3 linked regions of the Drosophila melanogaster genome follow. The main gene of each other region encodes a partner of the protein of the gene in region 2 in a complex. Each region holds a gene or a part of one and is shown on either strand. Other genes may lie near its edges. The genes, in order: ksr, Dsor1 and cnk. A codon is read from its position in the direction of its gene.

Region 1 (11,136 bases), on a different chromosome or scaffold from region 2:
GAGCCACTACAGCGGCCCAGCTCCGAGGACACATCAGCAGTACGGGTAAGTTAACCCGACGGCGTGTTGCGTTTTTTTTAATCTCCAAATCCATCAATAAAAAACAGTAAGGCTTAAGCAAATTCAAGTTATAAATGTTTAATTGCCACAATTCGGAGTCCACAAATACATGTTTATACATGTTTATTTGCAACAGAATAGTTCAAAGACTTCAGGATGTAGGAATAGCTTTTTAATGGACTTTTAACTACATAGTTTGGAATTCACCATTAAAGGGGGACTACGAATATTACTCCAAAGTATCTTAAGAATGCTACCGTAATTAAAGTTAGCCCACTTTGTATCATCATAATGAGAACAGATAGGGACAATCGACCTTCGGGTGACGCCGCAATGTGGACGGTGTTGCGTGCGGTAATCTTATTAAGATGTACATGGTTGAATCGATTAGAGCGCTGGCGTCATACATACATACATACGACTACACTAACTAGGGGTATCCTCTCGTGTGTCCTTTCTTCTTCTTGCATGTCGGCGGCCCATGAATCAGCTGGAAGATTACGGTAAGCTAATTGCTTGGAAAATAGATTCCCACCTGGCGGTGCTCATCGAAACAGACGTCGAGCACTTCACGAAACTTTTGATAACGACTTTCTTGAGAAATAATTTATGCATTAACGATCAGCTGCCACTTTTGCGGATTGAGTGTAAGCTGCACCTGAAATCGTTTTAAGAATTTGACTTCATCTTAAAAATCCCACTGATTTATTGTTTCTCCCTCCCAGCGGTGCAACGGGAAGGGGATCCGCAGCCCTTTGAGCTTCTGGCCAAGCATCTGAAGCGGCAATCCCGCATAAGCGTCGGTCTGGACAAGGATGGATGGAAGAAGCACATGGAGGACTTGCGTGCCGTAGGTGTGCTGGCGCACCAGGCCACCGAGTTCGAGTACCAGAGGAATCGCTCTGAGGGAAGAACGAAATCGGATCCCACCACACATGATCAACGCCCGACTTCGGAGCTTTTGGCCAAGGCTGTGGCCGTGGTGGAGCCCACCAACAAGGCATATCTGTCTCCGGCAAGGACGACAGAAGCCTCGCTCAAAGCCGAGGCCAAGGGAACGTCAACAAAACCTTTTCCGACTAAAAGCGATGCCAAACCCGCCACTCTTGCCAAGAGCGAGGGCACGCCAGCCACAAGCAAAGAGGACTCCAAGTTAACGCCAACTAAGGGTGCATTAAAGACAAGCGAACTAGAGAAACTAGCGGCTGTCCAGGCAGCGCAGCAGCAGAAGAAAGAGGCAGTCCAGGTCTCTCCCGTCAAGGCTGCTTTCTTAGCTAAACCACCTATGCTAAGTAAACATGATGAGCCTGATAAGGCATCAGATCAGCCAACGAAGCCCAGGAAATCCTTTGAGGCGGTAAAGCCGTTAAATTCTCCTCCGTCATCCAGAGCTGCTCCCTCGCGTCCTGTGCTGCAACGCAACAAGGATAGCCTGCAGGACGCAAAACCATTGAATGTTTTGGTCTACTCAGACAGCGCCAGTGCGCGGGAATCCACATTGGCCACTCTGCAGCAGCTGCTGGAGCGCAATGTGTACACGATCTATCCTCTGATGCCTCAGCAAGCGGCTCAAAAATACTGGACGGAACAGACTGCGTTGCTGGTCGTCTGCGGATCGGTGGCACACGGAATTGGGCAGATATTGGTGGACTACTTTCTGCAGGGCGGCAAGGTGTTAAGCCTGTGCTCGGATATACTGCACTTTGTACTCCCCAACTATCGCACAGCGGAGGTAGGACTCTGTTTTGTGGAAAATATACCCAAATTCGCCAACATCCATCCCGTGTTCTACAGGTTCGAGAGCACGAATTGGTTCAGTTCTCCTATGACAAGTGGCAGCGGGTCAAGATGATGCACCACATCTTTTGCTACCAACCGTCGCCGGTGAAGAAGCACTTCTCCACTGACAGCGAGGAGTCCACCAAGTCGCACTCTCGCAAACCGTAAGTAGCTATTGCTGCTCCCATCCAGACTGCCAGTGACCAAAACACATTGCTAACCTTGCCGATCTTCTTAATAGTGCCAATAACAAATAGCCCATTAACTGAGTATCAGTGTATTTGAAACCGAAATGTTGCATGTTTTATACACCCGAAAGCCCTATTCAAGTCGATTATTGCACAGCCGTCGGGTAAATTGTAAAAAAGAGGCCAAGTTATAACGCTTTACTTTTTAGACCCTTGCAGAAGGTATATATCTTCCAGTCAGAAGTTTTCAGGGCTTAAAGGGTTAAAAGGCACTTTCTTCATTCTTGATCAGTTTTACCAGCCAAGTCCGTCTGTTCATCCAGTTTTAAGGATTCTAGCCTCTCAGTTTTAAAGCTGTTTGCATGAAAAGACTTCCTCCTGAAATATGTAAGTAAGAAAAGGGAATAATCGGTCCTCTATTTCTTATAGCTTCCATAGGAATAATCGAAAAATAAATGAAATAAAAATGGAATATATAATTCCCGTTTTAATTTGTATTATATTTTTTCTTGACATATACATATGTAATTTCTGCAAGGGTATATGAACTTCGGCCTGCCGAAACCAACCTCCTGTCTTGTTTCATTTATGTATATTATTACTTTTTCTGAATGGGGCTTGAAATGAAATGAATTAATCCTAATTAATCGTTCTTATACTAAACCGATTCTAACCAATTCCAATTCTCATTTTATTTCTCAAATGTTTCATGCTCAAATTGGTCTCGTTTACTCTAAATATGGCTTAATTTCTATTTGATTCGGTGTGCACTGTAATCCATCTATCTAAACTCCGTTTTCAATCCGCCTAACTAACTAACCTATCTATGTTTTCTGTAAGCTCTCTTAACTCTTGTTTTTTATCGATTGAATGTGCCATCCATGTAATTTAATTGTTTAATTGTGTTATAAACATTTGGCATTTCAAACCTTTTCACCATCCTGCTACGTTTACCTTCTAAATCCTTAAATTTCTGCGTGTGCTTCTATATGTGTGTGCTATCACTATTATAATCCATCCTACCAATAACTAAAATAACAACAAACCAAAAACAAACAAAAATCGAAAAAAAAACACAAATCAAACCACGAAACGCTGCTCAGAGCTCTAGTATGTCCAAGGTCCATGGAACTGAAGGATCTGGCCGGTCACAGCCACAATTTGGATGTCCATGTGCTGGGAACCGAGGAAACCTGGAATACGCCCAGCTTGATGTTGGCCAAAAGCCTGCAGAGCGGCGGAAAGGCCGTCTTCTCCCAAGTAAGTGATTGCTCATGTAAATATAACAAACATATATTAAAAAAAAACATTCCTATGAAACAAAAAAAAAAACAGGTGCACTTGGAAATGAATCCCAGCGAATTTGAATCCGATGAGACTAAGTACTCCATTCTAAAGCAAAACGAGCGAACTCGCCTCGAGATATTTGCGGATCTCCTGGGAAAGTACTTGGATGTGCAGGTCCGCGGTGGAGACGGTGTCGACCAGCCGCAGCCTGGAGTTGTCTACAAGCACGCATATTTCCTAGGTCGGCACGAGGTCAGTTCGTCTCTCCATTTGTTTTGGCATCAGAATCCAATATTCTAGCTCTTTTTGTTATTCAGGCCAAGTTTGAGCTTCTGGAGAAGCTACGTCTGCGCTGCAGCGGATCCGACAACGTGATAGCAACGCCGAACCTGACGATGAAGTTCTGTGGCAAGGACGATAAGCCTCCAGTGGCCAACAACAATGTCCTGCCCATACTCATACATTCCTGTCCGGATGACTTCTCCACCGTGGATTACTTCGATGTGAGCGCATTCTAATTCTAGTCTATAGCAGAATTAACCCAAATTCCTCTTATTTTAAAGAATCTTAAGACGGAACACATCGGACGACTGGTCATCTATGCACCGGTGGTCAGCAGCTCCATGCATCTCATAAACAACCTGGAGCTCATCCACGGCCTGGCTGTGCTCCCCGTGCAGCAGACGTCCGGAGTGGGTCGCAGAAATAATCAAGTTAGTACTCTAGAAGCATCCAGATTTAAGTTCTTGTTGAAATCATCGCTTTGTGCTTTCCAGTGGCTTAGTCCGCCGGGCTGTGCCATGTTCTCGCTGCAGCTGCACCTGACCATGGACAGCGCTTTGAGCTCTCGGCTGCCTCTGTTGCAGCACCTTGTTGGAACGGCGATTGTTAATTCGCTCCGCAGTCATGAAGAGTACGGGGTGAGTCAAGACTGTAAAGTTTTACCATTTAGTTGAATCTTAAGTTAAGATTGTTTCGATTATCTCCGCCTGTGGGACGATGGGACGAACCTCAGGATCTGTAAAACTGCCAAGTGCACAAAGTGATTTTTTAGGTTTAATAAGTTTATTTGACATTTTGTTTCGATTTCGCATTTAAAGTCCATTTACTATATACACTTGACCATACATAATTCACAATATATATTTAATTTAACACTAGTCCGTCATATACAATACATTGCTGCTGTATATACATGTATATATATATATATATATATATATATATATATATATATATATATAGTTCTCTTACACATAATTAACAATTTAGAAATTGCTCACCTGATTAACGTTTACATTTATGTTTGCCACAGTGCTTGTTTGTTTGTTTGTATATGTATGTCTATGCCTTCTCTGTTTGCCTCTGCTCTTAAACATTTAAGCGTTTTGTCTTTTTCGAGTTAACATTTGATTTGCCTTTGTTTCGTTTGCTAACAACTGCAACTGGAGTGCTCCCGATACATGCCTACACATATGTATGTAGTTTTTAAAATGGATTGCTATAATTTGGTAGTTACGTTTATGTATTTACAATCTTCGCTCGGCTCGATAGAACTTCGCCTTGGGAGAGAGTTTGTGTAGAGTGGACGAGGGCACAAAGCGAGCTAGCTTAGTTGGTAGATCGAAATTGTACTAGACAGTGACAGTGGCCATGCTGCAGTTCCCTCAGAACACGGACTCGGCGGAACGGGAAAGGTTGACGGGGTGGGAGGGACTGCGCGCCAGACGCTTCTTGGGAAGATGCTCCAGCAGGGAGAGCAGGCGTGCGAACTGCGGCCGGTGCTCCTTCTCGTAGGTCCAGCACAGCATCAGCAAGTCCTTGACATCCCGTCCAGACTGCAGGTTGGCCAGCGACTGCTTCATCCCACGGCCAACCTGCCAGATGATCGATTCCGCCGGCTGATCCTTGAATGTGAACTCGCCGCAGATTAGCTCGTACCAAACGGTTCCGAAAGAGTAGACATCGGAGTATGGGGTGAACTCCAGACACTCTCCACGCGGCTTCTCCGGCTGCAATGCTCGGATTAGCTCCGGCGCCAGGTAGCACAACCAGTTGTGGGGCACTCCTAGGCCCATATCACAGTAGAGCAGCTTGGTGGAGCTGAACAGCCCAAAGTCCGTGATAATCACCTTGCCGTTCTCGATGAAGATGTTCTTGGTGCGCAGATCTTTGTGGATGATCTCCCTTGCGTGCAGGTAGCCCATGCCCTGGGCGATCTGCTGGGCAATGAGGAGAGTCCGGTTCATGGCAAACTTCTCCCGACGCTGGTGAATATACGTATACAAGGTGTTGCCCTTGCACAATGAAGTCACAATGGCCAAATATGGTGGGTTCATGCAGGCTCCCATGAACAGCACCAGGTTCTCGTGTCGAGTGTTCTTGAAGTTGGCTACCTCGCTGCGAAACGTCTCCAGCATGTGTTCGTCTTGCAGATAGTCCTCGTTGAGCAGCTTAACCGCCACATCTCCGTGCCAAAGGGCTCGATGCACGGTGCCGAAGCGTCCCTGCCCTATCCGCTCGAGCAGAAGCAGATCACCATACGGGATGTCCCATTCCTTGAGTGAGATCGAGTTCTGGCGCCATTGTCCCGAGTCTCCGTCTTCCGTTGAATCCACACGAACGGGTGTCCGGTCCGAGTCCGTGCTGGCACTTCCAGACAAGGAGACTGTCTTGTCGCTGTCATTTGACTTGTGGGTATCCGTGTACTCGCTGGTGAACGGCGTCCTCTTATCCACACCGGCTGTGCTCAATTTTCGCGGAAAGAAACTGCAGGTGCTGGTGGTGGTTGTGCTATTGACCAGACTGCCCGTCAAGGTGGCCGCAGTAGAAGCGTTTGAAGTTTGGCTACCGATGAGCGAGCTCATGTGCCCGTTGGAGCTGCTCACCAGACTATCAAGTCCTCCGTTGGCTGTTGCAGGCGCCGTGGGGAATTGCTCTGGCACTGGTTCATTGGAGATGAGCGATACACCACCGCTTCCGCCACTGCTCGTCACCGTCACGTTGGGAAAGTTGAATTGACTCGGCTGGTGCTTGCCAAGCGAAGGCGTAGGTAACAGATTGGCGCTAGAGCTGCTGCCCGCCTGATCCAGCTCGCGCTCCCTTTGCTGGAACAGCGCCGGACTGCTGGGCGTGGAACTAGTGCAGCTGGAACTCGGCGAACTGCTATCGCCGTGCTGCTGATGCAAGGGCTTACCCAGGGTGCTCTTTTTTACCAAAGGGGATCCTTTCGCCGCGCCATGCACATGCGGCAGACTGGCGTATCCTCCCTGCTCCTTTATGTGCCGAAACTCGTCCACATATTCTCGTGGAAGTCCACAGGAGGGCGGTACGTGCGGTGCGCATGACTTGTGGCAGATGTACTTGCAGTCGGTGCACTTCATCCAGCGGTGAAAGACCTGCTTCTGGCACAGGGTACAGGTGGCCATGAAGCCCAGGGCCTTGGTGAAACGATGCTTGATTGCATGACCCATGCCCACGTGACCCACGCCCGGAGAGCATGGCACCATAAGCACGTTCGAGGAACTTCCTCCGGAGCTGGCATTAGTATTTGGGTCCACAAAGATGTCCGAGCTGGTGGAGCTGTGGCTATCGGGGCTGGGATCAGTGGGCAAACGGTTGCGGGCTAATTGCTCCCCGTCCACTTGCACATGACTCTGGCTCAGCAAGGTCTGGTGCTTTCTAGCTGGCGGCGGGGTACCACGACTCCTCTGTGGTGTTCCATTAAGGCTGCTGCTCAGCCCACTGGAAGGCGTGAAGGGCGAATTGGGTGGCGAGGGCGTAAGGGTTAAAGTCAGCTGGGAACCCTGTGTGCTGTTCAGCTCTTCTGTCGCTGAGGGCGATTGGCGGCCACTTTTGAAGTTGGTGGAGTTGGCCAGAGCGGAATTCTTTCCCTTGACACCATGCTGGCGATGATGGGTTCTCGGGGAGGCGGTTGAATTGTTACCCAGTCCAATGTTTCCCACACTGCCGCGATGAATGTGGGTGGGCCTGTCCCAGGAGTCCCAGTGCCACTGCTCTGGATCGTTGTTGCTAGCCGCAGTACCGCTCTCCAGCGACTCCATGCACTTCCTTAAGTTCTGCATGGCCCTGGTCAGGCGTCGCAGTTCCTCCTCCTCTCGCTGGCTGGGGCTGTCAGCCAGGAGTTGACGGATCTCCTCGTCGCTGAGACGCAGGCTTTGCTCTAGAGTGGTCAGGCGAGCAAGGCAGGCGGTAAGAGTCCCCTGGCTAAGGCCCACTACGCGCAGCCATTGCCTCAGTTCGTTGCCCGTTGTGTGGGGCACAAGCCCGTTGGCCGGGATGCGCTCATTTAGCCGCATCTTCGCCAGCAGCAGCTCGGAGAAGTATCGCACCAGCTTCGACTCCAGGCAACGAATCTCCTGCTGCGTCAGCGTGGAGCTGATCGCGCACTGCGTTCGCAGGCCCTCCAGATGGTTGGCCGAGAGATCAATCATGTCCTGAATGATAACCAGGTTGCTGTCTACGGACAGCGAACCGGAGATGGGATCGTTGGCATTGGTGGAGCCCGTGTCTGGAGCCGATGCGGGTGCGTTGTTGTTGCTGCTCATCCTGCTTATTCGCGACGGAGTGGAGCCCGATTGATTTTTTCAGACGCCCCCTCGGGGACTCGACGATTCGATGGGACCAATGGCTGGGACTCCGCCCCGCATTGTGGCCCTCGCCAAGCGACCTTGACGTTCGGTGCTCCGGCTATCGCGCACGCTAACGCCCGCAACTCTAAACGGCTTAGGCAATGCGAAAAAGCAATAATTTGTACAAGTTCCTCGGCTGTTGTTGAAATTTCTCTACACCCAAGTAGCGCATCGAGAGAAGTGTGACCATACCCGGGAGGACTCCTTCTCACTGCACACCAAAATGTACTAAAAGCACTTATCCGAAAAACTTAGGGGCACTCCTCTGTATTTAAAAAAAATAGAACGTTAAGTATTATTATTCTTATGTTGTAATTATATTATGTCTTCGAGTGTATATAGCATATATATTTCAATTCTATTTGAAAAATTAATCCAGAAATTATTTTCACATTTTTATTTTATTAGTCGAAATAAGTCAAATATTTTAATATTTATATTTTATTATTTGGAAATGGAAATTAGGTAGATATTATTTTAATATTTTAATTTTATAACTAAAAATAATTTTTTTAAGTTAATATTTGATGTTCCAATTTATATTTTATGATATGTAATATTACGGAGATAGGCGAGTTTTACTTAATTTATTCATATCACCTTCAGGTGCTGGATATTTCCATTAAGTGGCCGAATGACATTTATGCAAATGGAAATCAGAAAATTGGGGGCCTCGTCATTAATACCACACTTCAGGGATCCCAAGCCATCGTCAATATCGGAAGTGGAATTAATTTGAACAATTCAAGACCAACAGTTTGCATCAATGACTTGATAAGAGAATATAATACCCGTGTCCCGAACAACAAGTTACCTATACTTAAGTACGAGCTACTTATTGCCATGATATTCAATGAAATCGAAAGACTTTTGGGAGAAGTACAAAACGGAGACTTTGATAGTTTTTATGCATTATACTATTCGCTATGGTTACACAGGTAAATTTAAAACATTTTTAAAATACATTTAATTTGCATATTACATTTACTAACATGTTTTTATGTACAGCGGGCAATCTGTTAAGATTTGCCTACAAAAAGATCAGGAAAAAGAGGCCGAAATTGTGGGAATCGATGACTTTGGATTTTTGGAGGTGAAATTACCAACTGGTACTATAGAAATTGTGCAGCCCGATGGAAACAGCTTTGATATGTTGAAGGGATTGATTATACCCAAGTATCAATAGTGAAATGAAGCAGATGTGAAAACTCATATTATTCCCCGAACCCTCTAGTTTAATTGGCCCTTAAGCAACTTGTACTTTTTAGGCAAATTTAGGTCAATTTATAACTACGTAAAAACGTTTATCCTTATAAATATTTACAAGGTGATTCTTCTTAAGTGGCTTTACGAAATAATAATGGATAATTTAATCCACTAAATTAAATACTGCCAAAGAGAATTATATGTTAAAGGAAGTCTCAAAATATTTATAATGACAGGTACATTTGTTTGTTCCCTATAAACCAGTGTTTGGAAATTACTTCGTAAGATAATCGCGTTTGTTACCATTGTTATCGCCATCGATTCCTCTGCATACGGGTGTTTTTGAAATTTGAATTTAATAAATACATATTCGATCATTGCTGACCTTAGACCACTGAGATTAACTGCCGCACAGGTCTTATCTTAAATTTAAGATGGATTTTTTTATTACATAATTTTTTTATTCTAAAATTGTTTATTTTATTATTCTTCTAAAATTTTTTTTTGAACTGAACTTTCATTAGAAAGTTATATTTTTTAAAATTTTTTTGAACTGAACTAAAGAGAGCTTGACAGTGTAGTTTCCTATAAAATTGTCAACACTGGTGATGCGAAGACTTGGTATAATTCCAAGTATGTGAGTTGGTTACACTGTTGCTTTGCTGGAAAAGAAAATTGTGGAATAAAACGGAGTCTGCGGCATTGGGAATTATGTCACAGCGAAATCACAGAGTGGACCGCTTCGCCCAGATGACAAAGCAGGAGGAGATCATAGCCAAGAAACGGCAAGAGATCCTCGAGAAGCAGAAGACGGCACAGCTGGCGAAGGCGGTGGCCGCGGCGCAGAACTTGGCAGCGCAGCTGAAAACCGAGACGACTGTGGGAAAACCCATTGGCAACGAGGTGGAGTATGAGGAGGATGCCCGATACCTGGACACCGCCGTCCAGGACACCTCTCTAGCGGCCGGCGAGGATGGCCTGGAGGCTGTTCACATTGAGGCCACGGCCAGCAAGGGAAAGACGGAGGACGCGGTGGCCCCCAAGACGCTGAATAGCTTCACTGGCAAAACGGGCAAGATCACATTTGGCATGAAGCGTCAGCAGCTGCCTCAGCCCAGTGTTGAGCAGCCACCACCGAAGGTTAAAAACACTTTCTGCAACGATGGTTCCTTTTTAGAGAACTTCAAGAAAATACTCGAAAAGCACGAAAAGCCTCCGCAGCCCTTGATTGTTCCGCCGGTTCCAGTGCCCAGGTGAGTCCACTATCGTAAAAATATTAATGTATATTAATTTGTGGGTAATTATAGCGCCGAGGAGAACAAAGCCGTGGACACGGAAACAGCAGAGCAGAACAACAGTCCCCAGCTAGAGGCGGCCATCGCCATAAGCTCGGCAGCAGCCATGGCTACCTCCATTACGGTGACCAGCTCGGCGCCAACTCATTTGGCTTTTGGACTACCCGTGCAAGCAGTGCAGCCACCACCGCCGCCTCCATTTGCATTCAATCCTACGCTTTTGCAACAGGGACCACCGCAGATGCAGCTGCCAGCTGCATTCTTCCACGGCCATTTGCCTCTGCACTTGCATCCGGCGGCAGTTGCTCCTCCGCCACCTCCACCGCCTCCACAGCTGCCCATCGCTCTGACCAACATGGGACAGATTTACATGCAGCTTGGTCCGTCTCCAGTGGAGGCTATGCAGCTGAATGCCATACCGGCGCCCAAAGAGTTTGACTTAAATGCCATACCTAAGCCACAAATAAATCTGGAGGCTATCCAGATGCCCAGCATCGGTGGTCATTCGACGGAGCAGCTTGGCCTCCTGCCGGACCGCATGTCCATGCCAGTGAATCCACACCCACCGCCTCCGCCGCCACCTGTAGTGGAGGAAATGGAGCAACAGCGCCAGCAGGTGGCACCTCCACATCCACCTCAGCCCACAGCTGCGCCGCCACAAGGTGTGTA
Region 2 (8,709 bases):
TTTACCCAAGCTTGTGATCTTGACATGCTCGCAGATTATCTCCTCCAGACCCCCGTGAAGGAAGTTGTGCGTCTGCAGGCCCTGTTTAAGGGCCAGGAACTCGTGGCGCAGGTGAGGCGATGTGCGACACAGAGTGTGTGCGGCCCTTTTTAGATTCTGGTTGACTAGGTAGCCTACAAAATGGAAGAGCATAAATATTGCGAGCTAGAAAAGCGTCCAGGGAAAACCTACCCAGGACCAAGCGAGCCACGTCCGAATGCAGGACAATCGACTCCATGGCTGGACTTTCCGACTCAGCTAAGCGTCACCATCCACTCGCTTTTCGCCTTGCCTTTCTTTTTTTTTTCGCTTGCAAGACTTTAGGTTTATCGAACGCACTTGTAATGCCTTATTATTGACTGTTGCAGGTTTAATCACTCAATAGTTAGTCGGAATTGAATCAGCGCTTTAATTCGAGAGAGAATAAACCATTTTCTCGCCTATTCGCCGACTATTTTCGTTTTGTTGTTGCCGATTCTAGCGGCGCACTGTACAACACACATAGGTTAGCATAGCATCTGTGTTTTTTTTGCCGCCCGCCAAAACAACGCAGTAGGGTTGCCACAGCGCCGAACTATCGATATAGTCCCGTTGTTTGCGCTTGGCTGCCAAGCCTTATTAGGAGCGTGGGAAATAATGGTAATAATTAAAGCAAAGAAATACGTCTCTTTCGCTTAAAACAAATTATAGCAGTTTTTATTGCTTTGATGGTCTTGCTTCAATTCGTTTTTATGTGTACGTTACAGTACTTAGAATCCGATATTCGTTAAACTATCGATATGGGAATGCTGCAAATACCTGGCATCCCAGCAATTCATAACTAGACGGCGTTGCCAAATAGATCAGAACGCAAAAACCAAGTGCAATATTTTATTCGAGTGACTTAGATTACTGGTTAACTGGCACTCAATGGCTGCCAAGAGTATCGAGAAGGAGAAGGGCGAGGGTCAGGAGCCCGCGACATCAGCGGAGAAACCCGATCCAGCCGCACCCACTGAACCAGCTGAGGAAAATTCCAAAGAACCGGCGCCGGAAGACGCATCGCCGGATAAAAAGGATGGTGGACGCAAAAGGAAGAGGCATTTGTTCAATTCGATTCGCGGTCAAATGGAATTCTACTTCGGTGACGCCAACTTGAGCAAGGATCGCTTCCTTCGGCGCTACGTAGAGCAGGATCCATGTGAGTAGCTAAGGTTGGCTCACCAGCCAACATAACACTGATCATGTTATTCTTTTACAGATGTACCATTGGAAATCTTTCTCACTTTCAATAAGATAAAGACGCTCACCCAGGATGTGCAGCAGATAGCCAAGGCACTAAGCAACTCCCAGCTTCTGGAGCTGGATGAGACCGAACTAAAGGTCAAGCGACGTACCAAGCTACCAGATCAGCGCGATGTCAACGACAAAACCTTGTATGTAGAGGCCCTGCCTGCAAATGCCACTCACGATTGGCTGAAGGAGGTATTCAGCCGCTACGGACCGGTGGCCTACGTGTCCCTGCCCCACTATCCGGGCACTAAGAAGATCAAGGAATTTGCCTTTATCGAGTTCGAAAAGAGCGGGTCCTTGGAGAAAGCTGTGAAGGCTTTTGCCCAGATACAGGGCGTTTTGTCCGTAGAAACCGATCCCAGTGATCTGGCCAGTGTGCGCTCCTTTCAGCAGCAGCAGCAGATACAACAGAAAGCGGAGCAGCCGCAGTCAGAGGCTGAACAGGTTGAGTTGCCAAAGCGAAATCTAAAAAGGGAGGCCACCGACAAGGATCGCGAGGAGATACACGAGGTGAAACGGGTTAAGTTGGAGGAGGGCCAGCCTAGCGAGACCTCTACAGCTGGGGAAACAGCGAGTGAAACGGATGCAGAGGGCACAGCCGAAGCCTCCGAGCAGGAGGACAAAACAGAGGCAACCGATGGCGATGAAGCTGCCAAAAAGCGCCGTCGCAAGCGCAAGAAGAAGGCGATCGTGGACAAGCCAAACATTGAGCCCAGTGCCCTGGAGCTCAAGGTGCTACCCAAGACTAGTTGGAGCAGTATGCGCAATAAGTACTTGAATCTACAGCGTCGCATCGTCAGTGAGGCAAAGAGCAAGCTGTGGCGAGAAAATCACCCACAAAATCAGCAGCACCCTCACCACCAGCAGACCAGTCATCCAAACCATCCGAAACCTTCACAGCTGCCCGAGGCAGTTAAAGAGGAGGAAACCGGAGGCGAGGTCCCTAGCGATGGCGGTGAAGGTGCCGTAGAAGCAGCGCCTGTGCCAGCCAAGCGTCGCAAGGCGGTGCACAAGATGAACATGAATTTCTACGGCGCCGGCGGCGTGGAATCCACCAAATCCGAAGAACCTTCGCAGGAACGCACGCCGCTCTTTAAATACGAGCCCGGGCTGATTGTGGAGTGCTCCCTGCTAAAACCATGCACCAATGTTAAAGAATTTAAGGCTGAAATGCGCCAATATCCGGATATTAAATATGTGGATATTAAGGAGGGCGACCAAGTGGCCCTACTACGTTTGGGCACGCCTGCCGCAGCCGAGGAACTGCTACGCCAGGTCAACTGCTCCGAGAGGCAGCTGAAAGTGCTCTCTGGCCAGCAGGAGACGCTCTATTGGCGAAAAATCGAGCAGGATCGCGAGGCGAAACTCTCGAAAAAGGTGCGCGTGCAGCAAAAACGCGGTCGCGAGAAAGTGGGCAAAATGCTGGGCAAGCACATTAAGTTTGATGATGGCGATGATGAAGTGCAGGCGGCCGCCATGGACTGAGTCACTTTCAGTTGAGGGGTGAGTTTGGATTTCATTTCAGGAAACTCTATAATATAAGCTATATAAATTTATAAATGTAAGCAAAAGATACATTTAGATCTAGCACAAGATTTCGTAATATTAGAGTAATATTGTAAAAACAAATTGAATTTTTAAAAAAGAAACTTCCTAGTGAAATTGAAATAAATCTTCTGAATGAAACAAACCATTTATTTTTACAAATTTGTCTGATCTTACAGGAACGAGAAAGAGATGGTTATATTTTCTCTTTCACTTATTTATTGATACGATCAAAGAATTGTGCTAGATAAAAGATACAAAAAAGAACTTTTGGCATTATTAATAAAATACATTTCCTAATTAATTATGTACACGTTTTTGAGAAGATCTTGCTATTCCTAATGGTTGCATATTTGCATTCGTTATTATGTACACTGTAATGGAAAAGTTAGCTTATGACCTATTAACCCCTGTAAAACTAAACTATATGTAAAGTGAGCCATCCGCTGGCCCCAAATAATGCATCGAGATGAGCAGGACATCGATGATGGTCCAGACGCCGAGGCCGCCAAAGCTGAACAGCTTTCCAATCCCTTCCTGCCAGTGGCCCAAGTAGAATCGATCGGCTCCAAAGCCCCCTAGCGTGAGGCTAATCAGCAGGGCTGTGCTCCACCGATAGCCCTGCGTCCAGTTGCATCGCAGGTTGCGGGTAAAGGATCGATTGCCGAGGCAGAGCACATCATGGTGCACGGTGCAGTTGGTACGGAATAGCTTATCCGTCGCCGAGTTGCAACTGGAGCGCTGGCCACAGCTCTGTTGCCACATTTCCGTTTGGTAGCAGTATCGGCAATTCATTTGTCGCTGGAAACTCCGTTCGCCCAGGCACTGGACATTGTTGATCACCTCGCAGGTTACATTCAAGTCCCGGCCGTAGATGCATCCATGATTGTAGTTGCAACGGATGCAGGGAAACTGCAGGCGATCACAGGGCGTTTCCTTATCGTACGGGCATAGCATGTTGTTGTTCCCATTGCTGCTACTGCTACTGCTGCTGCTGCTGTAGGCGGTTATGTTGTCCAGGAGTCCACCGGCACCTCCTCCACTCTTGGCCACCATGCTGGACACCAGGGGCGGCACATACACCTCGTTATCGTTGGCATTTCCATTGCCATTGCTCGCATTGCTGTTATCCTTGTGATCGCCTTTTGAGTCCGATAAGTCCATCTGGTTGCCACCGCTGGCCGTTTCGCTGTTCCTGATCCCCGTCAGCACGAAGATCATGATCAGGACAATGGCCGATCGCATGTTGACCACAATGCACTGTCGTTGGAGCCTCATTTTGGTCAGATAGAGCGGGGAATACGCCGGAAATGTTATTGTTTTTCCCTTTAAGAAAATGAGTGGGGTGGGAGAGTGTGACCGTATACGCGTGGCATGAAAATATCAACCGCGAATGCTCAGGAGAAATTTCTTTAAAAAGCGTATCGAATAGTTTATAGATATGTTTTGGCTCAATTAAATTGGCTAAACAGATAAGTATACCTCTCCCCTCATCGTAACAAATTAGTAATATCTAATCCTAATATCCTTTCCATTTAAGTTGTGACCATTGGCCGCTTTAGTCGTAGGAGTGTATTAACGGTATTTGGTAATCGCGACATCTGGCCATACCGCACCGTCTGCGAAAAAAACCCAAAAGTCGCCGATTTTGGCTGATTATTGCAAAAATAATATTAACTATCCGTTTGCTGTTCGTGTGCTCGGTTCGGGTGTGTTAAAGTTAAGCGCAACGCGAGGAATTGGTGCAAATTTACCAGCGGCTGGACACACAAAACGAAACATTCGCACTTGGCCTCCCTTCGCACGCCCCCTCGCCGACGCCCCTCGCCCCTCACACCCTTCAGCCGTTCGTCGGACGCCGCTGTTCGTAGTGCGTTTTGTTGTTGTTTCCACTGGAACACTCTCTATTTGTATTGTTTCATTTATTAGTTTTTTTTTGTTGTTGTTATTGTTGTGTGCTTTAACTTATCGGTAACGGATAACGGTATCGAGAGATATATATTATATATAGTAAGATGTCGAAGAACAAGCTGAATCTGGTGCTGCCGCCGGTAAATACGGAGGCAACTGTTGCCGCCGCCACAGTGGCGCCGACGCCGCCATTCAAAACCCCCTCGGGCACAGAGTAAATATTATACATAATATCCTTAATAACTGACTGGTTTTTAGGCCACCCATTCCAATAACACCGCATCCCCCCTCCCTCGCTGTTTCCCCTTCCACTCCTCGTTTTCGGTTTCCTACTCAGTGGTAAGATAATCCTGTAGTTTTGCGAGTTAGGTGGGTAATTAATATCCATCAATTGATCCAAGGAAATCCCATCCAGCTGGAAAGAAAGAGACAGTCGGAGTGAAAGAGCAGGTACTCTCTCTTTGTTTGTTGGTGTGGGTGGTGCTCCTTTCGTGTGACGCACAGGTACACAGCGAGAAAAAACTTACTGAGTAAATACAGTAAACTGTTTTAGTGCTTTTTGGATTAATTAACGGGATGACAAAGTCAGTTTCGAAGATAAATAGAAATTATAATTTAATAGTCCTACCTTTATCGTATATTTTTTTGTGAGCACCAAAATGTAGGCAACATAACATAACACAATACATATGTAATTTGATGTGTATGTTTGTGTAGTTTTCTTATTATTAGGAGAAACTTCGGCCCGCCCCTCATCCCATCCCCCACTTTCAAATCCCATCCATTGCTTGCACTTTTTACATTTTCGTTTTGGATCGCAAAAATTCATTAAGAGGTTAAATTAAAGCACACACAGTTTGCTGGGGAAGCCCAAGACGAGCATCGATGCGCTGACAGAGACGCTGGAGGGTCTGGACATGGGCGACACGGAACGCAAGCGGATCAAGATGTTCCTCAGCCAGAAGGAGAAGATCGGCGAGCTGTCCGACGAGGATCTGGAGAAGCTGGGCGAGCTCGGATCGGGCAATGGCGGCGTGGTGATGAAGGTCCGGCACACGCACACACACCTGATCATGGCCAGGAAACTGATCCATCTGGAGGTGAAGCCGGCGATCAAGAAACAGATCCTGCGCGAACTGAAAGTCCTGCACGAATGTAATTTCCCGCACATTGTCGGTTTCTACGGCGCCTTCTACAGCGACGGCGAGATCAGTATCTGCATGGAGTATATGGACGGTGGATCACTTGACCTGATCCTCAAGCGGGCCGGTCGAATACCAGAGTCCATTCTCGGCAGGATCACGCTGGCGGTGCTCAAGGGCTTGAGCTATCTGCGCGACAATCACGCCATCATCCACCGTGACGTGAAGCCGAGCAATATCCTCGTCAATAGCAGCGGCGAGATCAAGATCTGTGATTTCGGCGTCTCCGGTCAACTGATCGACTCGATGGCCAACTCCTTTGTGGGCACCCGTAGCTATATGTCGGTAAGTAACTGGATAGCTAATCAAAATCTATACTTAGGTGTATTAAACAACGGAAGGTCGATGAAATCGGCGAAAGTATTTAAAAAAGAACATTGCAATAGCAAAACAAGGCACTCATCTATGCACAGATGTTAAATATAGCCAACTATAAGAGATCTATATAACTCACATGCTAATGTCCTCTTTGTTTCAGCCGGAGCGATTGCAGGGCACCCACTACTCCGTGCAGTCGGACATCTGGTCGTTGGGTCTGTCGCTGGTGGAGATGGCCATCGGCATGTACCCCATCCCGCCGCCAAACACCGCCACCCTGGAGTCGATATTCGCCGACAATGCGGAGGAGAGCGGCCAGCCGACGGACGAGCCCAGGGCAATGGCCATCTTCGAGCTGCTGGATTATATTGTAAACGAACCGCCGCCCAAGCTAGAGCACAAGATCTTCTCCACCGAGTTCAAGGACTTCGTGGACATCTGCCTGAAGAAACAGCCCGACGAGCGGGCAGATCTCAAGACCCTGCTGGTAAGCAAACGAAACGTCGCCATTTCTTCAGTTATATATATATTCAAGTTGTTTTATGTATTCTTCGGCAGAGTCATCCGTGGATACGCAAGGCGGAATTGGAGGAGGTGGATATATCCGGCTGGGTGTGCAAGACAATGGACCTGCCGCCATCGACGCCAAAGCGTAATACGTCGCCCAACTAGACGCCTCTGCGTTCCGGCCCCCATTTTCTCTATCCTCCCATATCCACACTTGCTCTTTGTTCAATAGAGCGTTGACGCTGGGCAAAAACAACTGAACTATTATTATTATTATTATTAAATCGAAAATAAAGAAATCGAAGTCATACCATGTATGATGGGGTGTTCTTATTATTTGCATTGGAGGATTATCTTTAATTTTAAAATAATGCATAAAATTATAATGTGTTATTGCTAATCTTGCAAAAGGTTGAATACATAAGCGAATTAATTGTATCTCAATTAAATTTTGTCATTTTTATTCAGACTTCACTCCATTGTATGAAATACATTAATTCAAAAAAAAAAAAAAAAAGTATTTGCCGATCTAAATGGGAATCCCCTCAAAAAAATATATATTTCAAACAAAATATACTGAAGGTATTTTTGGATGTGCGTGTATTTTGGTCACACTGTGAGAAAATAAATAAATCAATTCAGTGTGGCCAGAGTGTGTCACAACAGCTGTGGAATTTGTATATAAACACATAAACTAAACGCATACACGGGCGCTCGTGCAGCTTGATACAGTTACAGTTACAGATCCAGCACGCAATTCGCGGCCAATTGAAACGATTCAAAGATCGCGAGTGGAATAGATCGGAGGCGACACCAACACACCAACACAACAGCACACAGACGTACGCGCACTGTGGCAAGAGGCAGCGTTCTTTGTTGCAAATTACCGTTGCATCCACCTTTCAGCGCCACCCCCTCCATCGGCCTCACCGATTCGCGATCCACGATCCGCCTTCTGCCAACCGCCGCCAGCCAGTTGCTTCCAGCCAGTGATCCGATGCAGACGTTTCGCTGAAAAGGAGCGCACAGCCAGAACAGAAGAAGAACCATGTCGGCGGTGAACCAGAAGGAGAGTCCCAGCCGGGACTCGACGGCCTCCACATCCGGGCACATATCGATGCTGGCTGACAACACATTGGAATCGCTGTCGCGGGACTACAGCCTGGGCAGCTTGAACTCGGCGGGCAGCCAGGATGAGTTCTTTCGCTGCCGAGACCATGCGGACAATATACTCAAACGGATGCAGCTCTACGTGGATAGCCAGCAGCTGTGCGATGTGGTCCTAATCGCTGGCATCGATGGAAAGAGGTGAGAGCACTGAATTCTGATCCTGGAACTACGATTCCTGGCGTTCCACATCACTGCGATCGATGTTGGAACGATGGTCGGCAAGCAGCGGGGATCGGGATCATGGAACTCCTAGTTTCCAATGCCAATTCCCCATACCCTTTCCACGGAGACAAAGGAATGGAATATGGCATTTCAAATTGGAAAGTTCATTAGCGATTCCCTCCCGCTTCCCCTTTATCCCGTCCACCACCTAACCCACCTCCGCCTTCCCCTCCTCCTGCCCCAGCTGACCTTCACTTGGGTTCTTTGTCTGCTCTCTTTGCTTTTTGTTGTTGTGGTTGTGTTGTGTTGTCCCCAACGCAATTTCAACAGCGCACACTCACACGCAAGATAGTAGCAACACGCAAAACCAGGAAATGCAGCTGCGGCCACAATAATAGCAACCAAGAAATGCAAATACAGCTGTTTTACAAATAATTGCAAGAAAAAAGAGTTTAACAAATCTGGTTTTCACTTTTGAGTGTATACTTAATTTCTATTTGCACAATTGCTCATTTTAGGTCGGCTTTAATTCACTTATCTCAGTGAGCATGCTGACGCACAAAGTTAGTTTAGTGAATTTTAT
Region 3 (11,065 bases), on a different chromosome or scaffold from region 2:
TTTTTATCACCTAGCACTGATTAATTTCATAATAATTTTAAATATTTTGATATGTACGAAAGAGTAGATTACAGAACGTGTTAGTGAAATTTCTACCATGCCGTACCAGCTATTGCAATGCAAGCTTAAAGCTATAAGTTCAAGGATGCAGTATACTCACTGACCTACTCTACTTTAACAGCCCCCATCTGCACACGTATTGACACCCACACAAACGCGAGAAACCAGGCATATCGTCGACGTAAAATTAATCTACTGCTCAATATGTTCTATAAATAGACAAGTTACTTGAGGCCTTAATTGAATGTGATAGAAGATAACATCGTTACGTATTATCAGGTTAATTCTTATATGGCTTTCAATGAGAACAGCTAATACGTTACATTTACAGCTCCCTTTATAAATCACGTTGGTATAGCAAAAGTATTGCAGGAATATGCAGTAATATGATATGGGAATATTTGTGATTTGGCATGAAATACGATATGATCATGATGGGTTGATATCTAATACTAGTAAGTAATATCTAGAAAGAAGTTGGCCGTTAAAACAATAATAATAGACAATAACTAGGGCCAAGTACATGCAAAAACACTCATCATACAATTCTGGGAAGATTTCAAAAATAAGAAAACAGGGGCCGGCAGACAAAGCAACGCTAGACGTATCCATTTATCGAATGCTGCGTAGGCGCGTTCGTTGCACTCATTCTTTCCGCCTTTCTCTGTATCTTCTGCTCTTCATTTGCGTACCAAAATGAAATTCACCACACGGAAAGAAAAAACTGAGGATATATTTTTTTAGAATTCTGCAGAAGGTCAAAAAATGTTGTCAAAATTTTAGAACAATATTTATCATAACATAAAAACGATAAATATTAAAATAAGTTTGGGGTACTTGTGATAAAATGTAAATTTAGAAGAATCAAAAATGTTTCATTTTTCTCTCAGTGTGGGGCCAACAATCTGGTGACGCCACAGACGAGATTCCTCCGCATATTTTTAGTTTTTGCACACCAACAAAAGAAGCGAGAGATGAGCGCTTGCCACGTGTGCCGTGCTCTTCCCAAAAAAGGAACCAACAGGTTATGGCCTTCCAGGCGGGTGGGACAAGGACGGCAAGCGGGAGTTTCCTGGCGAGGGAGATGCAGGACATTGGGAGCCAAAGGGAGGCTAAGGGAACTGGAAATGGCAAACGTGGCTCATGTGTGTTGTTGTGATCGCTGCCATGTTGAAGAATCGAGAGAGCACTTGCTGACGCTATCATCGTTTCACCATTTGTTGTTACTTGCCGCGCGGCAGACTCAATAAACAATGTTAAACACAGCAAGCGTTAATTAAACACTGAGAATAGAAAGAGACGTCGCGAAACGGGAGACTGGACAAACAAGCGCAGCACCAAAACAATTAGAATGGCGGTAAATAACACACACAACAGAAACAACAAAAAGCACTCAAATACAAACACACACACACAAATATGCCTCTCTACAAATGAATGTACAAACATACATATATGAACGTCTGGTATGTAAAATGGGACTTCGATTGGTTTTTACGTTAAGAAATGGGGAAAATGCAATGAATTACATGTGACCATTGGTTTTGGCTGCTATAGCCTTAACCTTTGACTGCTGATGATGCTGTTGTTGTTGTTGCTGCTGCTGTTGATGTGGTTGCTGAAGTAGCTGTTGCTGCTGGTGGTTTGCGATGGTTAGTAAACCGGCGGATGCGGCTGCAAATGCTGAGTTCGCTTTTGCCCCTTTTGGAACATCGTTATTGCTACTATTAATGCTGTTGTTGTTGGTGTTGTGGCCCGACTTGCTGCACAAAAACGTGATGCTGCTCATTTTTAGCCCGATCCCGATCTGCCAGCGATTTTGAATCACTCAGTCCGTCGGCGTGGGCGTGAGAACTTGGATGTGGAGGCAGCAAGAACACAGCAACCGGCGATGCCAAGCCAAAATGGGTCACTCACTCACACAACGCTCACGCGAATCGCCGCCGGCGTGGATCACATGTGATTTAGAGTTTTTATTTCGTACGCAGCGATTCACCTTTTGCGTTGCGGCCAATATTTATTCGATAACTAATGAAAACAAAAAATTAAGCCAAAGGTGTAGCGAGAAGTGCGAGGTGAGCGGCGTTTGGGGATTGAATGACAAGAAAAAGTGTTAAGGCAGCTAAGGTTAAAAAGCTGCGCTGCGCTGCGGTTTCCTCTGCCGGCGTCGTCTCTGCATTGTTGTTGTCGCAAGCCTTCATAGAGGTGGGCATGTGGTACATGAGGTTTGGCGTGACACGACTCAGTCGAAGATGTGCTCTACATTTTAGCCAAATTTGCATAACAAATGTCTCTTTTACTTTTGTTAAGTGAAGGATATTTAATTTGTTAGAGAAAAAAATATTCTAATTTTTAGGCGCATAAAATCATAAAATATTTCACGCTACATATACTTATACACAAGTAATTTTTTATAGCATTCCACGGATCGCACCAAAGTTATTTTAATAATGTTTCTGTGGTATGAATATTATTTTTTCAAACTGCAACATTACAAGTTACTCGCTGACGCGCCCATCCCTAGCTTGTAACTGTTCTCGCAGGGTGTTCGCTTTGCCTTCTCTCTCACACTCTCTTCCGATCCGATGCAACCGGCGACTATATCGAAATTGAATTTATCACATGTTATGCGTTTGCACATGTAGTGGTGTTTGCGAACGCAGGCCCTATGCCATTTTCCCAGCATTTATTTATATTGCGTGATTAGAGGCCCCACGACGCACACATGTAAGTAGGTACGTACGTACATACGATGAATGACTTGGAGCACATGCTCTTTAGATATGTTTGTGCGCGGGTGTGTGTGTGAGTGTGTATCACATTCTAATGACTTCTGTTGGATTTTCACACTTTACTTTTGGCCGTGCGTGAATTAATGCGGCATTAAAAAGTCGTTCGTTACCTGTCGGAGCTAGCGGAACTCGATGGGTTGTAGAACTTGATTTGTTTCGTCTGGGTCACAGACATTTCGACAAGAGAATAGTGATTGCAGCAGCCAGTTGCAGCGATTAGAAAAAAACACGCGGTGATTTACTTCGTCGTGCCTCTCCCTCTCCGAGCAAGTGACTGATTCGTTTCTGAAGGCATTGCGTTGGAAAAACGTGCGCCGCCTTCGTATACATACATATGTATACATCTACCCGAGCTTGAATGGTCAAGTAAAGTGCTAATTGTCAGCTGGGGAAAGGCACTGGAGCGGAGGGACGCTCATTGCCTTGTTTATCTCCATTTGATGCTGTCATTGAGGCATTTATTTATATGTTTTGGGGCAATTCAATTCCATTCGCAAGGCGCTCAGCTGTTTGATTGGGGCGGCGACAGTGTTGCGAAGCGCTGTTGGCTGTTGGGTTGCAGTAAATTCGAATGTGAATGGCTAAATCCGAAGCGGGGTTTTTAAATGTTTGATAATTATTACTTCGAGCTTGTGTCAATATAAGTGAATATTTTACATAAAACTTTGTGGTTTCTAAAAGATTAGCTTACAACATGATCTTTAGGTACTAACAAATAAAAGGTTGTAAATAGCGGTAGTGCTCGGAAAATATATCAACATGAGACAATTACCAATTCGATTATTTTTTGTTGGTCCTCTATCGATAACTGTTACTCTTACTCTCTTGCACTGCAAGCCAAATTCATATTAATTAAGACTATAAAAATAAACACATACAGAAACATGTGGCTGTTTCCTGGCTATCTTGGATGGAGAAAGTAGTATGTAGTAGTATCATAATTTATAGTTTTCTTTCCTCTTGTTCTGTCCCTTAAAGAAACTTTGAATAAATTGCATTTTGTTCAGTTTTAAAATGCATTAAATAATCGATTGCCACGCTAGTTCGATAGTATTTAACGAGCACCGAGTATTGTTCGAGCTCTAAAAGATGGTCACTCCGGACCAGAGAGACGCAACAATATAGCAATTCTGAACTTGGTTCGAGTGTTTTTGCAGCACGAATTGATAATATGCCGTAGGTGCGGCCCAGCGCGGATCATCAGCAGCAGCAGCGATGGCCTACATCAACATCGCCGAGTGGACGCCCGACCAGGTCACCGACTGGATAAAAGGTAATGCTCGAGGTCAAGGAAAGCGCAGCTGAGAAAAAAAAAACTGCATCTCGCAGCCACTGCCCCAAAAAGCAGCAGCAACAACAAGTGCAACAAGAATTTCCGCTTTGTTCAAGGTTTCAACAGGCACATCATAATAATTATGTTTTCCTGATTCTCGCAGGTCTGGATGAGTCTATGAAGGGGTATTTGTACGAGTTCTCCAAGCAGGAGATCGGCGGACGGGCGTTGCTCAACATACGGCCATACGAGCTGGAGAATCTGGGCATGCTGCGCATTGGCCATCAGGAGATCGTGCTGGAGGCGGTGGAGAACTTAAGAAACTTCGTGAGACCCCAAACAAATATTGTGACATACAAACCCGTTAATTGAGCTTGATATTCCAGCATTATCACCTGAAAAACGACAATCTGCAGTTCATGGCCTTGCATGTGGCCACGGCAGCTAAGAATCTGCATCGCGAACTGGCCAGGAATCATGCGGAGAGCACTAAGATCGATACCCGGATACTGCACGATATTACCAGGACGATAGCTACTCTAAAGCCATTGGTGGGCAGCCTGGAGCGAACACCGTTCCGTAAGCAGGAGATGTACCGCGAGTATTGTGGCAATGTGCTCAAATGCGGCCTGGAGCTGGCCACAATTGCCCACCGTGATCGTTTTGCCCTGCAGCCGGTGCCAGCGATTCGACAGTCAGCGGAACGGCTCGAGAATCTTGCCAACTTTGTAATCCAGGACATATCTGATCCCATGGTACTGCAGCCAGCCTCTCTGAACCTTGTCACCCTTAAAAAACGCGAATCCGAGTTGGGTTTCAACATAGAGTCCAGTTATAATGGCATTCACCGTGTCACGGATATCAAGTACAACTCGCCAGCTCACAATTCCGGAAAAATCGAAGATGGCGACGAGATTGTGCAGATCAACTACCAGACCGTTGTGGGCTGGCAGCATCGCACAGTACTGGAGCATCTGAGGGAAGCACTTCCAGATGTGGTGCTGACGGTGAAGAAACGGCCGAAGCACACAAAGATGTTTGGACAGATCTATATGCAGCCGTACAGGTTGCCCAGCAAGAAGAGGAATATGGCCGCCCGCTGGGCGGCACAGATGCCAAGTCCCCGTGCTGCATTTTTAACCCTGGACACGGAGCAACTGGCAACAGGAGGAACAGGAAGCGCGGTGCCAGATCCCAGTAAATCCCTAAGCAGTGAGAAGAGGGAGGTACTTACCAAGGCCAATCCAGTGTCCTCTGCCTCCGACTCTGATTCCAGTTGCAGTGATATTCCAACACCAACGGATCCCAAGCTAGCCGCACGGGAGATCCGTTTGTATTACCCAAAGCCAAGAGCTTTGCTCCAACGAAGAAACACTATTTGTGGATGCGAGTATCTTAGCCTGAAAAACTCGGATCTAGTCGTTCCATCGTGGCACGAAAGAAAGCCAGGAATTGGTTCGCCCACCAATTGCGACCCTGGCTCGCCCAGTATACGGGATAAGTCGATATCCTTCGGTTATGGCCTAGAGATGGCAGCAAGGCCGACCACTTGCATTGGGATTGCGGGCGATACCTCCACGGACAAGGCCAGGCGAATGTTTCATGAGGCGCGAAAACTAAAGCAGCTGACGGAGGACTCGCAGCGCGAATTCCTCGTGGATCGTTACAAGCCGGGTGTCAGCAAAGTAGTTCGGTTCGACGCCAAGGAAGATTATGTGATGAAGAATGAAAAATTTATCTGTAACGTTGAGAACACCATACTGGAGACCTTTGAACCGATTCCCTTTGCGGATGAGGGAGACGAGGACGCCTTGGAAACGCTGCGCAACTGCAAAACAGAAAACGCAGAGGAGCTCCTAGAGGCAATTAATCTGGCTACAAAAGGTCAGGACTTGCCCCTGGCCGAGGCCATTAACATGCCTTTGTTGCAGCAAGGTCGAAGGGGCCGATTAGACAAGAGTCATAGTACTCCGGCATACGATAATTCGGGTGAAGAATCGGATACGCCGCCAGCGATTGAGCCAAGAAAGGAGTTCCTGCTTGTCACACCGCCAGCACCGCCACCGCGACCCCGCAAGCAAAGGGAAATGACGCCACCGGCGGTGCCTCCACCTCCACCAAAACCAGCCAGCATGCAGCCGGCTAGTAGTATCACCAGTATCTCCATTCCCGTGCCAGTACCTGTACCAGCCGCAGTTGATCCATCGGAGATCAGTGAGCTTCATACGCCCAGCAAATCCCGGACACTGACCCTTAAAAAGAAGCACAGCTTAATGGCCAAGCGGCGGAACACAAATCTCAAGCTGTTGGGGACTGGGGATATCCAAGGTCATCTGTACAGGCGCAAGAAAAATCATCGCGGAGTGACTTACTGGGCGAGAATCTATTTCGTGATGCTGGATACGATACTGTACGGATTTCGCAGTAAGCAGAGTACCAGCGCCAGCTTGGTAATATTTTTACCGGGCTTTACGGTTTCATTGGCAAAAGAAGTGCACTCCAAACCGCATGCCTTTAAAGTTTACCACACGGCCAAGAGCTTCTACTTTGCGGCCGAGTCGCTGGACGCACTTAACCAATGGGTGGACTTCTTGCGCCAGGCTTCGCTCAAAGTGCCGCCTAGTACGGGTTCAAAAGGCGGTGGTGACGCAAAGGATTTGTATTCGGAGAACGATAGCTCAGGCGAGGAATGCGATGCCCTTGTGATCCAGAATTTAAGCACGCCCTCGCCGCAAGGCAACAAGGAGTCAATGTCCATGTCGATGACACTATCTGGCGGAACACCACCTTCCTCTGCACCCATTAAGCATGAACGCGGCTACTTGGACTCGTTTCGCAAATTTACGAATACATTCAAGAGCAGTGCAGCGAAACCGTCGAGCGACATCCCTGTGCCAACGGAGCAATACCGCAGCTATAGGAAGGTGCCAGGCGGAAGTTTTGGCATTCAGATTGGTGCCAATACACCGGGCTACCATGATCCCGCAATGCCGCCGACACAGATTCCACCTTTGGTGGGTCCTAAACTGTCGCGTAGCTCAAGTAGGAGTTCGGTGGTCAGTGGAACCGAGTCTGCCGTATCATTATCTGCTTCGATTCTGGGTCCGCCCGCGTCGCCAGCGCCAACGCCCACGCCTACAGCCACTCCCACATCGCTGCAGCATCAGAGCTCCGAGGAGAGTCCAAGTCAGAGCCAGAGCCAGAGTCCCAGTAGCAAGTCGAGTTTGAAGAAGGCACCATTCAACTTCTTGCACGCCTCAAATCCGAATTTGGTGGAATTCGATTTCCATACCTCGAAAACACTACTCCCCAAGATGAGTGTGGGTAATACACTCGACCATGGCCATAATATACAGGGCTTTGTGACGCTTAAGGATCTGATGCTGCGCAAACAGGAGGAGGAGGCCCAGGAAATGTACAACAATCGAGTGCACTTGGGTGTGGAGAAGCACAAGCACGCACGGACGGAATCCACGGCCAGTCAGCAGAGCGCCATGAGCAGCAGCGTGACAAAGCCGCTGGAAAAGTTGCCCAAGATCCAGAGCGTGAGTCTGCCCAAAACACCCGACTACGAGATCAGTTTTAAGCCTGACGACGAGAGTATTAAGAGAACCAGAACTAAGGAAGGTCAGAAGTTGCGCGACTTTGGTTACGAGCTGATATGTGGGGATGAGCCGAGCACTAGCTCCATCAGCCGGCAAGAGCACCACCATCATCATCATCATCACCAGCACCACCTGCAGCATGTGCAACAGCAGCAGCAGCTACAACATCAGCAGACGCAGCAGCAACATAGCAGCAAGGCCAAGCACTTCTTGCGCTCACAGCAGTTACAGCTCTCCAGTTTCCTGCACAAGAACAGCAGCGGCGGCAGCGGCAAGAGTTCCGGATCCGGTGCGGATCAAAAGAAGTCCAAAGGAAAGTCTAGCGGCGATCGTCGGTTTCCCTTTTCCAAGCACTCAACTGGCTCCGCGGGCAGTGGCTGTGGGCCGGGTCATGCGATGACTATGACGCTGCCGCTGAACAAGAAGTCCAAATCGAATCACGCCTTGGATGGAGCCGTAGGCAATGGAGTCACCATAATCGGCAGCGGCAGCAGCATCAAGAAAAGCCAGACGTACAATCAGGATCTGCGAGACAAGATAGTGGGCACCAAGTACGATGCGCATCGCAAGAACTCGGCCCCGATACCAATCTTTTCGAAACTCTCCATATCGGGTGGCACGCCGGCGAAGCCCTCCAAGGAGAATCGTTTCCTGGGCTCACCGCTGCTGCATCGCACGCTGTTCGGGCACCATCACCATCAGCAGCAGGCAGTAACGCCACCAAGCAGTGCGGATCCCGATTGCGATCAGGAGATCTTCTCCCAAATCACCCTGCCCACGCACAATCAGGCGGGATATCGAAGTTACCGTGGACCTGGCATACTAACCACCTCGACCACTAATTTGTGCTCGTCGGAGGGCTTGCAGCCGCCGTTGCCCCCAGCGCCACCGCCTCCCGTCAACACCAGCAGGCAGAGAGAGGAGGAGCAAGCGGAGGCAACGATATCAGAGTGTGCGGCCACCCCAAAAGTGTCCAGTTCGGGATCTGTGGATTCGAAGGCGGCAACGCCGGACTATCCAAATATGGAGTGTCCGCCTGTCTTTGAGCCGGAAATCTACTCGCTCAGCGATACCAGCTTGTCCCGCATCGTGATGCGGACGCCCAGCAGCAGTGGTGCCACCAGTGCCACCGCCAGCACCACCACCACCAACAACAACAACAACAATAATAACACCAATAACAACACCAACACCAACAGCAGTCCCAGTGGCGGCGAACACCATCAGACCTAGATGTGTGATGAAAACTATTGTGAATGCTCGCGGGGATTAGCCCCCGTTTACTTATGTATTTATACACACGCATATAGATATATATATATATATTATATATAGCGATATTCTCGTACGATTTAGGTATACAACTTGTTCATTTTGATCGTCTTCCCTGTCTGTCCACCAGAAACAAACACACGCATACCTGCAATCCCTTCGATTCGAAACCCACTTAGATGTAAATGTTTAATCTGCCTTATTTGCATTGTATTTCGGTTCTAGGCAAAATGTTTTACACATGTAGTCACGCAAGCAAAACAATGAATTATAGCGAAAATGGAGAATAACTTTAGAAGTCTGTGCATCGAACAAAGACGGTTCTTTATGATTTGCCTTTGTACGCGATTAACCAAGTTAATCCGAGCTGTTTGATTTGCTCAACAGTTTGTGTCTAGATTGCGTGTAATATACATATATTATTATGCGAAATGAGATATTATTGTAATGGCATCCAGCGACGCCAATGGAGCCAGAAATGTTGTAGCGGAATGCAAGAAATATATATATACACAATTACACGAAATATACATGCATACGAATAAAGTCAACTGTACATAATAGAATAACGATCTTTTTATTTTGGGATTTTTCAAGAAACAGGTTGTTTCATTAGAGGAGGATTGAAAATCTTTTTATGCACGCAACTTATTCAAAGACCTAAGAAATGAGAATCTCTGGACAGAAGTGCTGAACCCTGCTTCTTTTTACTAATGTAACCAAATCAACTTGATCAAAACGAGTATTACCTTCTATTATTAGTTCGATTTAGAATCCCTTTCTTTATTCACATTACATTTGAAATTAGATCAATTTAAAACCACTGCCGCTTACGCAATGTTCTTAATGTGCTGCTCCACCTCCTCCTTGGTGAACATGTAGAACTCTCTTTCTTTCGTCATGGTCATCACCTCCACATTGGTGGAGTTTAGTTTCTCCTCCATAACCTGTTTAAGTGTGTTGAGCGAAATGTCGATAGCCTCATCGAGAGTCAAATCGGGTCTAAATAAGTCCTGCAGATTCTGCTGAGCACCTTCGCTGCCCGAGCCAATGGCCTTGGCTCCGTGGCGCACGAATGTGCCGGAGGGATCCATGTGCCACAACTGGGGTTGTCCCGCCTCGATGCCGGCAAATAGAATGGCCACACCAAAGGGACGACTCATGGCGGCGGCACCATCGCTGTCGCCACTATCACCGAACTGGATGGCCAAAGTGGACACAGCCTGGGCGCAGGACTCGATGGACATGCGCTCGTTGTAGACGAACCAGTGGTTCTGGCACTCCACGCGTGCCCTCTCGATCAGAGTCCTGGCATCGGCCATCAAGCCGGAGGTGGCGCAACCAATGTGCTTGTCCACCTCCACAATCTTCTCCACAGTACTGGGTACCATTAGCGGCGAAGTGATGCGCTTCTCCACCGCCAAAACCACTCCTGGAATGCAATTTTACCATTAGATCTCCGCGTGTACTTATGGCAGCAAAGAACATACCTTCTGGCGTGCAAATTCCAATTGCTGTGGAGCCCAATTTGATGGCCTCAATGGCATATTCCACTTGGAAGAGGCGGCCCTCCGGCGAGAAGGTGTTCACGCCTCTGTCGTACTCGGAACGCGTGAGAAACATGGTGGGCTGTAATTTAGTTAAGTGTTATGCACGCTGGTTGACAAATAACACTTCGAAAAGGGCTTACTTTTCTATAATTTCCTTAACAAAATCGCAAACAAATGCCGGATGACTTGACGCTGAAATGACTTGCGGATAAAGTGCCGTCTCTGATTATATCGATAACTAGTGCTGCCACATTATTCGATTGATAATATTACTGTACTAAACATGGGTTGGCAGCTCTGCATCAAAATTGGTTGATCTGGCAAGTTTGTCGCTGTTAATTTTTACACATATTTAAATAAAAAATTAAATTGATATTTTAAGTTTTCATTTACAATTACGATCACAAAGAATATTTTGAAGAAGTAAAAGATTTTTAAGGTATTTTCAATATAGTTTTTAGAAATCTTAATCTTATAGGTTTTTGACTGAATTAACTGAAAATAGCTCTGCTG

The links.
Region 1: the proteins of Dsor1 (region 2) and ksr are in contact, whole or in part, in a cryo-EM structure (PDB 8BW9), measured with the Drosophila melanogaster proteins. Residues at the interface, in NP_511098.1 of Drosophila melanogaster: Gly98 (codon at 5,796), Gly99 (codon at 5,799), Lys123 (codon at 5,871), Asp236 (codon at 6,210), Met238 (codon at 6,216), Ala239 (codon at 6,219), Asn240 (codon at 6,222), Ser241 (codon at 6,225), Phe242 (codon at 6,228), Val243 (codon at 6,231), Gly244 (codon at 6,234), Thr245 (codon at 6,237), Ser247 (codon at 6,243), Met249 (codon at 6,249), Arg253 (codon at 6,454), Leu254 (codon at 6,457), Gln255 (codon at 6,460), Gly256 (codon at 6,463), Ala310 (codon at 6,625), Met311 (codon at 6,628), Ala312 (codon at 6,631), Ile313 (codon at 6,634), Phe314 (codon at 6,637), Leu317 (codon at 6,646), Asp318 (codon at 6,649), Val321 (codon at 6,658); in NP_001287177.1 of Drosophila melanogaster: Gln767, Tyr828, Asp830, Met831, Gly832, Leu833, Gly834, Val835, His837, Arg849, Ala850, Leu851, Gln852, Asp888, Gln889, Pro890, Ala891, Glu892, Ser893, Ile895, Trp896, Gln897, Gly899, Arg900.
Region 3: the proteins of Dsor1 (region 2) and cnk are in contact, whole or in part, in a cryo-EM structure (PDB 8BW9), measured with the Drosophila melanogaster proteins. Residues at the interface, in NP_511098.1 of Drosophila melanogaster: Arg200 (codon at 6,102), Gln255 (codon at 6,460), His258 (codon at 6,469), Gln262 (codon at 6,481), Tyr319 (codon at 6,652), Val321 (codon at 6,658), Asn322 (codon at 6,661), Glu323 (codon at 6,664), Pro324 (codon at 6,667), Lys347 (codon at 6,736), Gln348 (codon at 6,739), Asp350 (codon at 6,745), Glu351 (codon at 6,748), Arg352 (codon at 6,751), Ala353 (codon at 6,754), Asp354 (codon at 6,757), Lys356 (codon at 6,763); in NP_001286524.1 of Drosophila melanogaster: Arg46 (codon at 4,366), Tyr48 (codon at 4,372), Arg72 (codon at 4,444), Tyr76 (codon at 4,515), Thr92 (codon at 4,563), Lys95 (codon at 4,572), Asn96 (codon at 4,575), Arg99 (codon at 4,584), Arg103 (codon at 4,596), His117 (codon at 4,638), Arg121 (codon at 4,650).

The regions. Positions count from the first base shown.
Region 1 is NT_033777.3:5,475,756-5,486,891, forward strand, and holds ksr (kinase suppressor of ras), read right to left. Parts: upstream 8,152-11,136; 5' UTR 7,883-8,151; coding exon 4,982-7,882; 3' UTR 4,235-4,981; coding exon of another isoform or gene 4,091-4,234; 3' UTR 4,028-4,090; coding exon of another isoform or gene 3,878-4,027; 3' UTR 3,818-3,877; coding exon of another isoform or gene 3,632-3,817; 3' UTR 3,567-3,631; coding exon of another isoform or gene 3,363-3,566; 3' UTR 3,288-3,362; coding exon of another isoform or gene 3,131-3,287; 3' UTR 2,635-3,130; downstream 1-2,634. Other genes in the region: Hcs (holocarboxylase synthetase), read left to right, coding at 1-45, 551-707, 786-1,792, 1,855-2,003, 3,131-3,287, 3,363-3,566, 3,632-3,817, 3,878-4,027 and 3 more; CG31550 (uncharacterized protein), read left to right, coding at 9,884-10,425, 10,480-11,129.
Region 2 is NC_004354.4:9,242,928-9,251,636, forward strand, and holds Dsor1 (downstream of raf1), read left to right. Parts: upstream 1-4,414; 5' UTR 4,415-4,871; coding exon 4,872-4,981; intron 4,982-5,614; coding exon 5,615-6,254; intron 6,255-6,447; coding exon 6,448-6,774; intron 6,775-6,845; coding exon 6,846-6,959; 3' UTR 6,960-7,110; downstream 7,111-8,709. Other genes in the region: mxc (multi sex combs), read right to left, coding at 6-173, 232-277; Larp7 (La related protein 7), read left to right, coding at 949-1,219, 1,280-2,796; amx (almondex), read right to left, coding at 3,280-4,134; CG17754 (uncharacterized protein), read left to right, coding at 7,843-8,102. UniProt on the Drosophila melanogaster protein: Required downstream of Raf in the sevenless (sev), torso (tor), and Drosophila EGF receptor homolog (DER) signal transduction pathways.
Region 3 is NT_033778.4:17,412,471-17,423,535, reverse strand, and holds cnk (connector enhancer of ksr), read left to right. Parts: upstream 1-3,528; 5' UTR 3,529-4,067; coding exon 4,068-4,125; intron 4,126-4,288; coding exon 4,289-4,452; intron 4,453-4,511; coding exon 4,512-8,963; 3' UTR 8,964-9,566; downstream 9,567-11,065. Other genes in the region: l(2)k01209 (lethal (2) k01209), read right to left, coding at 1,590-1,849; Prosalpha5 (proteasome alpha5 subunit), read right to left, coding at 9,833-10,434, 10,493-10,625.